Macaca mulatta: one gene and its partners. The protein of the gene in region 2 purifies or fractionates together with the protein of the main gene of each other region. This does not show direct contact. Links are inferred from orthologs where the notes say so. Each region holds a gene or a part of one and is shown on either strand. Other genes may lie near its edges.

What was found.
Region 1: the proteins of COPRS (region 2) and WDR77 purify together in Homo sapiens (affinity purification with mass spectrometry; 3 studies listed by BioGRID and IntAct, with this or other methods). This does not show direct contact. The link is inferred for Macaca mulatta from reciprocal best matches to the Homo sapiens genes COPRS and WDR77.
Region 3: the proteins of COPRS (region 2) and HNRNPH1 purify together in Homo sapiens (co-immunoprecipitation; 3 studies listed by BioGRID and IntAct, with this or other methods). This does not show direct contact. The link is inferred for Macaca mulatta from reciprocal best matches to the Homo sapiens genes COPRS and HNRNPH1.

Annotation. Positions count from the first base shown.
Region 1 is NC_133406.1:128,804,580-128,807,663, reverse strand, and holds the end of WDR77 (methylosome protein WDR77), read right to left. Parts: intron 2,579-3,084; coding exon 2,470-2,578; intron 1,605-2,469; coding exon 1,536-1,604; intron 905-1,535; coding exon 745-904; coding exon of another isoform or gene 711-744; 3' UTR 535-710; downstream 1-534. UniProt on the Homo sapiens protein: Non-catalytic component of the methylosome complex, composed of PRMT5, WDR77 and CLNS1A, which modifies specific arginines to dimethylarginines in several spliceosomal Sm proteins and histones.
Region 2 is NC_133421.1:41,273,013-41,277,403, forward strand, and holds the start of COPRS (coordinator of PRMT5 and differentiation stimulator), read right to left. Parts: upstream 2,838-4,391; 5' UTR 2,741-2,837; coding exon 2,642-2,740; intron 2,504-2,641; exon of another isoform or gene 2,354-2,503; coding exon of another isoform or gene 2,291-2,353; intron 94-2,290; coding exon 27-93; intron 1-26. UniProt on the Homo sapiens protein: Histone-binding protein required for histone H4 methyltransferase activity of PRMT5.
Region 3 is NC_133411.1:188,575,111-188,578,758, reverse strand, and holds part of HNRNPH1 (heterogeneous nuclear ribonucleoprotein H), read left to right. Parts: coding exon 1-164; intron 165-248; coding exon 249-320; intron 321-376; coding exon 377-510; intron 511-662; coding exon 663-798; intron 799-1,204; coding exon 1,205-1,264; coding exon of another isoform or gene 1,265-1,294; intron 1,295-1,356; coding exon 1,357-1,446; intron 1,447-2,082; coding exon 2,083-2,175; intron 2,176-2,631; coding exon of another isoform or gene 2,632-2,681; intron 2,682-3,272; coding exon 3,273-3,391; 3' UTR 3,392-3,648. UniProt on the Homo sapiens protein: This protein is a component of the heterogeneous nuclear ribonucleoprotein (hnRNP) complexes which provide the substrate for the processing events that pre-mRNAs undergo before becoming functional, translatable mRNAs in the cytoplasm.

The DNA of each region.
Region 1 (3,084 bases), on a different chromosome or scaffold from region 2:
GCCTTTAAGCTCTCCTTCATCCCCAAACTTTCCCCTATGGCATCTATGATAGAAAAACACTCCTCTCTCATATATGCCCCATCACTGGGGAGCCGGGGAGAAGGGAGTGGGCATTATAAAGGCAAGCCAAACTTTTTATTCAGCCAGAAAATGGATTTCTGATTCAGTTTAAAGGCAAAGAGTTATGTAAATCCGTACCAAGTCCTGCTTCTTCCTCAAAGTGAGCTGGGCTGCATTTTTGTGACTGGAAGCATTTCTCGTAATGGTGAATTAAGCACTTTAAAAAAATAAAATCAATCCCATCTCTATAAGTAGCATAAGAGCTGCTTCCAAGAACCCAGGGATGCCCACATCCCATAACCCACCCAGACACAGCCAATTCCTCATAGACAGCTACATGGGAAGAATAAAACCCTCTCATCAACTTGTTTTGGGGGGTGAGGGAGAGGCAGTGCTTAGGGAATATGTAGGATGGATTGTTTTATTCCTGCCACTACCAAAAACTATAAATCTACACACACAGTCACACGCACATACATGTCCATTTTTAAGAAAGCTTTTCCTCCCTGTGACTACAGGAACCCAGAATTCAGCCTCCCTCAGGCTGAGGGATGATGCCTTTTAATGGCACAGATCTAGCATATCAACATACTACAGAAGGCTCCTGTGTTGTCTCACAAGCTGAGAGGGTAGGGCAAAGAAGTGGACGCTCATGGGGGACTTGCTTTGTGTCTTAAATCCAATCTACTCAGTAACACTCGCAGGTCCAGGGGCTGGGAGAGGTTCTGTGGGCACGATGTGGTGGACGACCTGATGGTCCCAGCCCACTGTGGTAAGCAGGGAGTGATTGAGCGGGGACCAAGTTGCATCTCTCACAAAGTCTCTGTGGGCTCGGCTTCTAAACCTAGAAGAAAAAAAGTCAGGGCATAGTAGAGACAAGAAAAGCAGACCTGGAGAAAAAAGAGAACCCAACACATCTGGGGCATATTTTTTGGGTGTGTTACACACATTTCACCAACTGTATGGCCTCGTCGCCAGGATAGCAGTGTAGCTATCCACAGTGGATGTCATCAATCATCCAATCCAGTCCTCTATTTTCATAGATGAAGAAATGCTGGATAGAACAAGACAGTGATGTGGGGCAGTAACAGGCAGCAAATCATGGCAAGGAGGGAAGTACAATTCAGGTCTTCCAAGTGCTGCCTTTTACCCTGTAGCAGACTGCATTTCATATGCAGTTCTCTATGTGAAAGGATATACTGCCGCCCCCTTGTGGGAGAGGGCTGGAGTGCTAGACTTAAAAATTCCACCTACCACCCCGCTCTACCAAGGACACAGCTTTGTCCTTGGGGTTGTGAATGTGCCCCATGAACGGAGAGGGTCAACAGCCAGCCTGCTTCCATTACCAAGTCCCTTCAGATACAGACGGAGAATCTGTTCTCCAAAAGCACAATACACTTTTCTGAAGAGGAAAACGACTCACCCACCCACTGCTCCCCTTCCCTGATTCCCAAAGGATTCCACTTCACACTTACACCTCAGAAAGGCTTGAGTCCAGCACAGCAAGTGAGCAGTCTTCACTGAGAGAGGCCAGGAAGGGAACACTATCAGAGGGAGGAGAGGGTTGTGAAAGGCAAAGCCTGGATCCCAAGACAAAACCTTTTTTTTTTTTTTTTTTTTTTGAGACGGAGTCTCGCTCTGTCGCCCAGGCTGGAGTGCAGTGGCGCGATCTCGGCTCACTGCAAGCTCCGCCTCCCGGGTTCACGCCATTCTCCTGCCTCAGCCTCCCGAGTAGCTGGGACTACAGGCGCCCACAACTGCGCCCGGCTAATTTTTTGTATTTTTAGTAGAGACGGGGTTTCACCGTGGTCTCGATCTCCTGACCTTGTGATCCGCCCGCCTCGGCCTCCCAAAGTGCTGGGATTACAGGCGTGAGCCACCGCGCCCGGCCCCAAGACAAAACCTTAACTGAGCTGGCGCCACCGCTACTGTAAAGTGACCCAGAAAAGGCAGCCTGATTCCCACTTTTGGCTAAGGTCTGGCTACTCTAAGTTGACACTAAAAGTTTCAAGTAAAGATGAAGGAAATGAAGCAAAGTTAGGGTTGACAACCATCCTGGTAACTAACCGCCCCATCTGGTCCCTCTCTATAGCTTCAGCAATAACCCAGAAACACAGGCTTTTCCAACCTCACAGTCCCAGAAACCCACAATATGAACCATGTTGGGTGTTGAGCAGGAATGAGACCACATTTTAGCCATTTCAGACAGAAACCGTATAATCTGAAAAATCCTTTGATTCCCAAAGGATTCCACTTCCCACTTAAGAGATCTCTGATGTTCCAAAACCTCAGTTAGAACACTGTCTGCTTTAAGGAACTACTTAATGAGCTAATGCTTTGAAAACATACACACACCCCCCCACTGTTCCCATTTATACCCATCAGGCCCCTGATGACAAAGAACAGTACCTGTGTGGGGAGAACACCAGCCCAGTGACACACTGGGAATGTACAGCTGAGCTCAGGACACAGCTTGTACTCTTGGTATCCACAAGGGAGACTGTCCCATTCTCATCACCTGTAGAAGAGAAGGGACATGTCATGGTAATTAAGAGCATGGACTTTGGTGCCAAAGATTTGAATCCTAGTTCCTTAAGCTTGGAAAAGTTAACCATTCTGAGCATCAGTTATCTCTTTTGCAAAGCAGGGATAAGTCGTCACTGGATGATTGTGAAAATTAAGTTAATGAATGAAGCAGTTATTATTTTAACCACAAACTACGTCACCATACACACAGCCTCATGACCACGATAGCTCTACACCTACCCACAGTAGAAAAGAATTCGCTGTATAGCAATCCACTTGCTTTGTGGCTCACTGACTTATAGCCATGCCCAGAATATAGGAGCTAGATCCATCAATCAAAAATCAAATCCACTGGGAAAATAATCATGTTCTCCAAAGCTACACTAAAACTACCTTGGCATCACCCCACCTCCCCACCCTCAATTCATAATTCATCTAGTGTCCATGAGGGCTAAGACTGAGCAGCAAGGGCCTTGTGCATTGTGGAGTCAGCTCTTT
Region 2 (4,391 bases):
TTCCACCGTCTCTGCCATCTACTTGCCTAGTCGATCCATAGCCTTCTCAGTCTCCGTCTCCTGACTGGAGTGGTCAGCTGTAGCAAAGCCAGCCTGCAGGAAGAAGAAACGATTACCAAGGACTTGGGTATCTGGGGTATGCCCAGTATTCAGCTATTGCACCTCAACCCCACCCATTCTTCCATACTCCCCTTGGTGACGCAGGGCTGGGACTCTGCCACCCACATTTCTGCTTTGCCCTGTTAAACTGCGCAAGGCTGGAAGGAGACGGACTATTCCTTCCTATTCACGTTGGCATCACCTTATGACACTTCACCATGGCAGCAGGAATGCCTTCCTATAGCGGCCACAGAATCCAGTATACAGTTCTGCGAACTCTTGCAGAGCCAGCCTTATCCCTGCACCTTCTCTTTAGAGGTCTGGATCCCAGGACTCTCCTCCAAGCTCAGAGACCCCCTACATCAGCTGAGGCAGTGCCTCCTCCTTAAAGGTTGGAATTTCAGCTCTACAGAGCCTTTCCTCTAAGCTTTTAAATTTTAATCAACTTCATCTCTTTGTTCCTCCAGCCATAGGTTGGTAGCTCTTCCCTGCGGTTGCCACCCCCAGGTATACGTTTTACCTTTTCAGTTACTTAACAGCTTTATAGTTAGCAAACAACTCTATCGAATTCTGTTTCCTCACCGACACATTGAGGTGGGGGAAGCTTTATAGCTCCTCTGCAATGCTGAGCACTGAAGGCAGTATTTCTTTTTTTTTTTTTTTTTTTTTTTTGAGACGGAGTCTCGCTTTGCGCCCAGGCTGGAGTGCAGTGGCCGGATCTCAGCTCACTGCAAGCTCCGCCTCCCGGGTTTACGCCATTCTCCTGCCTCAGCCTCCCGAGTAGCTGGGACTACAGGCGCCCGCCACCTCGCCCGGCTAGTTTTTTGTATTTTTTTTAGTAGAGATGGGGTTTCACCGTGTTAGCCAGGATGGTCTCGATCTCCTGACCTCATGATCCGCCCGTCTCGGCCTCCCAAAGTGCTGGGATTACAGGCTTGAGCCACCGCGCCCGGCCTGAAGGCAGTATTTCTAATCTAACTGAAAATCTTCCCGCACGGCCAACCAAATGCTTCTCTGCTCCTATCACTCAGAAGTTCCTGAAACCCTATGACCTCCAAGACCTCTTTCTAATGAATCACGAAATCTTCCCTGCCTGCATAAAAAGACTTGATTTTGATCCCAGCTCTACCATCCATTTAGACTGTGACCTTGAACACATCACTTCAATTACCGTGCCTGAGTTTTCTTCTCCAGAAATTGGGGGTGACTGTTCTGACCCTGCAGGGGACTTATGATGAGATACCATTTATGAAAACACCTGCCATGTGGCAAGAATGTAACATTTCTTGAATTTAAATTCATCTTTTCTGCTACATCTAAACTGCACTTGGCACCTGCTCCAATCAGCATTCATTATCTAGTTATGTCTGGGTTTAATAATTCAATTCCACTCCCTTTAGTGACAACTTCTGATCACTGCCGCCCAAGGAGAATTCAGACCTCTCGCCTAAACCACTGCCACAGCCTCCTAACCACCTTCCCATCCAGCCATCTGGCCCAGCCTTACAGAATTAATCACTACTCTGCTCTAAATCTTCAACAGCCCTCCACTGAGGGAGCGCAAAATTAGCCATGGCATTCGCACGTCCCCACGTCCCCAACTCCCATCAACCTGTTGAGCATAGTTCTCTGCATGCTCTGAGACCCAACTCCAGGTCATGTGCCCTACACTTTCTCATCTCCACGCCTCTGCAGACACCACCAGCCTCTCACCTTGATCCTTTCCTGCTATGCCCAGACAAAATTAGTCCCATTCTATTCTGCACCACAAAGTAATTTTCTGTATAAGTGTCGCTGCATTTTTCATATCTTACTTTGGCTAAGTACCATCTTTGAGGCATCATTCATCCAGTCAGCATGTCTATCTCCTGTGCCAGGCACTATGCTAGGCTGGGCAAACAGCCCTAACAGAGGGTTCCTACCTCAGCACCTAGCCGGTACTGACAGTAAACAAGGGCAGGTAATGACTGTAATAACGGTCTGTAACGTTCTCGAGAAAACCGGGTGCTGTTTAGCGTACATGAAAACAAGTTTCTGGAAACCCTGCGTCCAAACAGGGCCTTTTTGGTTTCAATAAGAAGGGGGAGTGCGCATGTGACATCATCTGGGGTTCAGGGTTAGCGGGCATCCCCACCAACGCACAGAGGTCCACAGGTCTGTTAAGTCAAGTCCCTCTCCTCGCCGCTCTCACCTGGCCCTCGCCCAGGCTTCTGGCAGCGGGCCCCGGCTCTCGGTCACCAGCGTCACCTCCCATTTACCAAATTCGCAGCGGCGCCCAGCGAGCGGACGGCCTTCCCCACTGACCCGGCGCGCCCACCCACGCCCTCGGCGTTCCCCGCCCCGCAGCCCCGCAGCCCCGCGGCCCCTCGGCCTGGCAGTTTTGAGCTCGAGCGCGAGGCCAAACAGCGCTCCAGGTCGCGGGGCGGCCCGAGGCCGGCCAGAGGCGCTTCCCCGGCCCCGCGGCCCCCGCCCAGCCCGGCCCCGCGACTTCCCGCCCCAGGATGCGGCTGGTTGTTGCTCCCGGCCCCCACGCGGCGCTTACCTCCGGGCTGGGGGGCGCCTCCTGCGCGCTAGGCAGCGGCGGGCCCCGAGACGGCTCCGCGGCCCGCCGTGCCTGGGCCCTGGCGGCCTGAGGGTCCATGCCCGGCTGCCCGCGGCTCGGCGCCCTGGACGCCGTGGGCCACGTGACGCGCGCCTGTCGGCCGCCAGCCCGAGGATCCGCCGCCTAGGGGCCAATCAGCCTGGGGAGGGTCCCGGCCAAGAGGGCGGGGCGCCGGGGTGTCACGAGGAAGCGGAGGCGGGGCGGCGCAGGGGGTGGGGCGTGCGGCCTCGCGGAGCCCGCCCCTGCCTGCCAGCGCGAAATCTGAAACAATCTTGGGGACTGATTTTGGTGCAGATCCCAAGCCTGGACGACTAGCTGGGTGTGAAACGCCAAGCGTACCCTACGCAGCCACTCGGGGTGTGCTCCAGCTTCAAAACCCCGCGTGGGTAAGACACATCAGCAACTTAGTGACCTCCACCTTGAGATAATGATCGTCTTTGAAGATAATCCATTAGAGAAACCAGGATAAGACACAAACTGCAATGTGCGGTGGACACAGAATAGAGGCCACGACGCTTACTCATAATAATCCTGAACATTCGGGTTCCTGTATTTCCATGCTCAACGCCTGATACTCAGCAACCTAATTATTTCCCATTTTGCCTCGAAAGGTGGCTTCTGGGGATAGGCAGGGCCTGAGCTGGGAACCACCCAATTGGAAAGACAGCCTTCCCTGCCTTCCCCACAGTGCCTAACCTCTAGTAACAAACCAGCTCAAGGCGTGCTAATCACGTCAACATCAGGACATGAGACCCTCTTCCTTCATCCCCCTCAAAGACTGTGTTGTTTGTACAACACAAAAGGCATTTGAAAAAATTTAGCATAAAACTGACACACAATATTCGATATTATTTTTCTCTCTGTAGATGTTCCTACGCAGGAGTCAGTATCCCCAAGGCTAACTGCCTCTAGGTCAGCAGTGTCCAATAGAACCTTCGTTAATGGGCCGGGCGCGGTGGCTCAAGCCTGTAATCCCAGCACTTCGGGAGGCCGAGACGGGCGGATCATGAGGTCAGGAGATCGAGACCATCCTGGCTAACATGGTGAAACCCCGTCTCTACTAAAAAATATTTTTAAAAAAACCTAGCCGGGCGAGGTGGCGGGCGTCTGTAGTCCCAGCTACTCGGGAGGCTGAGGCAGGAGAATGGCGTGAACCCGGGAGGCGGAGCTTGCAGTGAGCTGAGATCCGGCCACTGCACTCCAGTCTGGGCAACAAAAGCGAGACTCTGTCTCAACAACAACAACAAAAAAGAACCTTCGTTAATGGTGAAAAGTTCTACTATCTGTGCTGTCCAATATAGTAACCATATACCTACTGAGCACTTAAAATGTGGCCAATATGAATAAATTGAATAATTCTAATAAATTTAAATTGCTACATCTGCCTAGGAGCTACTGTTTCTAACAGTGCAACTCTAGGTGTACTAGCTAGATGCGTTTTCATAACCTGCAATAGTGAGAATCAGATACAGGGGACGTGATGAGCCCAGGTGACCACTTTTATATAGCTTTGTGTTAAGGAGACTACCACTATCCTCTTTGCTCCCTACTCTATTTACAACACATATCTCTTTTGTAAAATTAAAGTGCCAAATAAGATTTAGAAGGTTAAACATCCCAGGACTTAAGGGACAGGAAAAAGAGGAATTTTTTTCTTATTTTAAAACAAATGACAAGAAAACAGGCTGGC
Region 3 (3,648 bases), on a different chromosome or scaffold from region 2:
TAAGAGCAGTAGAGCTGAAGTTAGAACTCATTATGATCCACCACGAAAGCTTATGGCCATGCAGCGGCCAGGTCCCTATGACAGACCTGGGGCTGGCAGAGGGTATAACAGCATTGGCAGAGGAGCTGGCTTTGAGAGGATGAGGCGCGGTGCTTACGGTGGAGGTACGTGAGGATTCCCAGGGTTTGGCAAGTAGTCTGTTCCTTTGTTTAGGTGTTTTGTTTGATGGATTGTACTTTGTCTTTCAGGCTATGGAGGCTATGACGATTACAATGGCTATAATGATGGCTATGGATTTGGGTCAGATAGATTTGGAAGAGGTAAGGTAAGAATTGAATTTCTCAGTTGAAGGATGCTTACACTCTTGTCCATCTAGACCTCAATTACTGTTTTTCAGGAATGTCTGATCACAGATACGGGGATGGTGGCTCTACTTTCCAGAGCACAACAGGACACTGTGTACACATGCGTGGATTACCTTACAGAGCTACTGAGAATGACATTTATAATGTAAGTGTAGGATGAACTCACAAGTCTTATTTCAGTATGGCAGTAAAAGTCTGAGCCTTACTCTATAAATGTGAGCACTGTGTTAGAAATTGTAGTTTTATTTTGTAACATTAGAAAGTTGATTTAATTCTTTGAAATGCCTTGTGTTGTAGTTTTTTTCACCACTCAATCCTGTGAGAGTACACATTGAAATTGGTCCTGATGGCAGAGTAACTGGTGAAGCAGATGTCGAGTTTGCAACTCATGAAGATGCCGTGGCAGCTATGTCAAAAGACAAAGCAAATATGCGTAAGTGTGATTGAGCGTTTGTGGGCTCTTAACAGGTGATTGTGTGACTAACATTTACAATAGAGAAATGGAAAAATAAGGATATATGAGAAGTTTCCTCTCCAGTAATAGATTAATTCTTGGGGGATGGGGGGCAGTGGGTTGAAGAAGGTTTGGGTTTTAAAAATTAGTCTAACGGATTTGTGATACGCACATCTTGAAGTTTATATCCTTAATTGACAACATAGATGAATATGTAAAGGCTAGATATTAGAGTTAAAGTAGATCACCTAAGAGAAGTAGCTAGAATTTTCTTTGCCAAGGTATTTGAAGTTCACAGATCTGCTCGTTTAAAAACTTTATAAAAGTGCTTATCCTGTTGTGTTTCACCAACAAACATTTTCAAACTTTTTTTTTCTCATTTCAGAACACAGATATGTAGAACTCTTCTTGAATTCTACAGCAGGAGCAAGCGGTGGTGCTTACGGTAGCCAAATGCTAGGAGGCATGGGTTTGTGTAAATATCACTTTAGTGTCTTTTTTTTAAGCTAACCTTGTATGCCTTTTCTCTCATTTCAGAACACAGATATGTAGAACTCTTCTTGAATTCTACAGCAGGAGCAAGCGGTGGTGCTTATGGTAGCCAAATGATGGGAGGCATGGGCTTGTGTAAATATCGTTAGTTTTTTTAAAAACCAAAACGTTTATATCTGTATAAGTCAATTATAAGTTGTTAATCTATTTAATAAGTTTAGCATAACAAACTTAGGCAAAGAAAGCAGTTTCTTGATATTTGAATTTTGTATCTGGCTTACTTAAATCTTTGTTATGAAGTTCCTTAGGATAGATAATTCAAATTAGATTTAAGTACTCTTGGGGGAGGGGACTACGGAGTGAAACTACTTAAATTTTCTGAGTATAAAGTTTAAATAGCAAAATAGGATTAAGATAAATGTGGGCATAATTAGGTGTATTGACGTGCCTTTGATATATCTAAGGGGGAACCCCACTAAATCTAGTCAGGCAGTTTCATAAGATCTTCACAAAATGCCTCTACTTAGGGAATCTTGTGGGTTTTAGTCCTGCTGATGTATATACCGTTAGCACTTTGGTTTATAAATATTTGAGTAGCTCAAATGATGGATAGAAGGGTAGCCCGGTTATAGACAGTAGGCAGAAGGAGGCAGAGGGTTATAGTAATATAAGATCAAGACTGGAAAATATAGATATAGAATTACAAGCCCGGTACCACCAGGTACCACATTATGTAAGGAACAAGGTTCTAAAGTTTTCTTAACTTAACAGCAAACCAGTCCAGTTACGGTGGCCCAGCCAGCCAGCAGCTGAGTGGAGGTTACGGAGGCGGCTATGGTGGCCAGAGCAGCATGAGTGGATACGGTAAGCCTGTTTTTTTAAATATACTTAGAATTAAGTTTTAGGCAGGTTTCTTTAGTTGGGAAGGTGCAGGCTCCTTTTTGGTGAAATTGGGTTATTAAATGTATGCTTTCAATCCAAATGTAACTTTTTACTAGCTTAATTTTCAGAAACAATCATTGGGAGGGGGAAGTGTTCTGTGAATAAAAAACTAGTCATTGCAACTTTGGAATACTGTCGAGCCAGAAAATATCTGCCTCCATTTATTAAAACATTAAATAAAGTTGTTCGCTTTTTTATCTTTTGGTTAGCAGTACATCAATTTTAGATGGAGGGAGAATTTGGAATAGTAGAATGGTGGTTGGGTTCAGGACCGTATTTATTAGTTAACCTAGGATTGGTTTTATTTATTTTTTTTCAATTGGTCTAAAGAATGGTGATTTTGGTATTATAGTCTTACCCTACAAAATCCTTTTGCAGACCAAGTTTTACAGGAAAACTCCAGTGATTTTCAATCAAACATTGCATAGGTAAATATTTTCTCAAAAAATATAATTTAAATTCCCAATAGCAAATACTGATATGTTGTAATAATACTTTCTATAGCAGTCAATGGCTCTGACTTAACTCCATGGAGGCTGCCATTTGGGCACAGTGAGTTGCCTTTAGTCCACCTTGGTTGTCTCACTTCCTGCCCACCGTGAATAGGAAAAGCAAGAGACTTCCCCTGTGCTCCCTTTTCTCAAATGCCATTCGAGGGACACATTGTGAATGTTTATGGTAAATTTTTTTAAAAAATGCCTTGTTTAGCTTTAAAAATACGAAGTAATTTTGCAATTTTTGAAAAACACTAGTTTTCCTTTAAACTTAATTTTTCATGTTGATCCTGAAGAATCCGTTAAAATGGTAGCACAAGAGTCTGGCAAGTTGGTACTGCAGAGAAAAGGGGTTAATTGAGGCTTGTTTGGAGTCGGGATTCCCCTTTCCCAAACATGCGTCTCGCCACTTGGACAGCAGCCATTTGTACTCGTATACTTTTTAAACTTTTTCTTGGAATACTATATTTTATTTGACTGGTAGTCTGACATTACTCCTAACTTGTCAAATTGATCTCTTTGCAGGTAACCAAGGAGCAATGAACAGCAGCTACTACAGTAGTGGAAGCCGTGCATCTATGGGCGTGAACGGAATGGGAGGGATGTCTAGCATGTCCAGTATGAGTGGTGGATGGGGAATGTAATTGATCTGTCCTGATCACTGACTCTTGGTCAACCTTTTTTTTTTTTTTTTTTTTTTTAAGAAAAAAAAACTTCAGTTTAACAGTTTCTGCAATACAAGCTTGTGATTTATGCTTACTCTAAGTGGAAATCAGGATTGTTATGAAGACTTAAGGCCCAGTATTTTTGAATACAATACTCAATCTAGGATGTAACAGTGAAGCTGAGTAAACTATAACTGTTAAACTTAAGTTCCAGCTTTTCTCAAGTTAGTTATAGG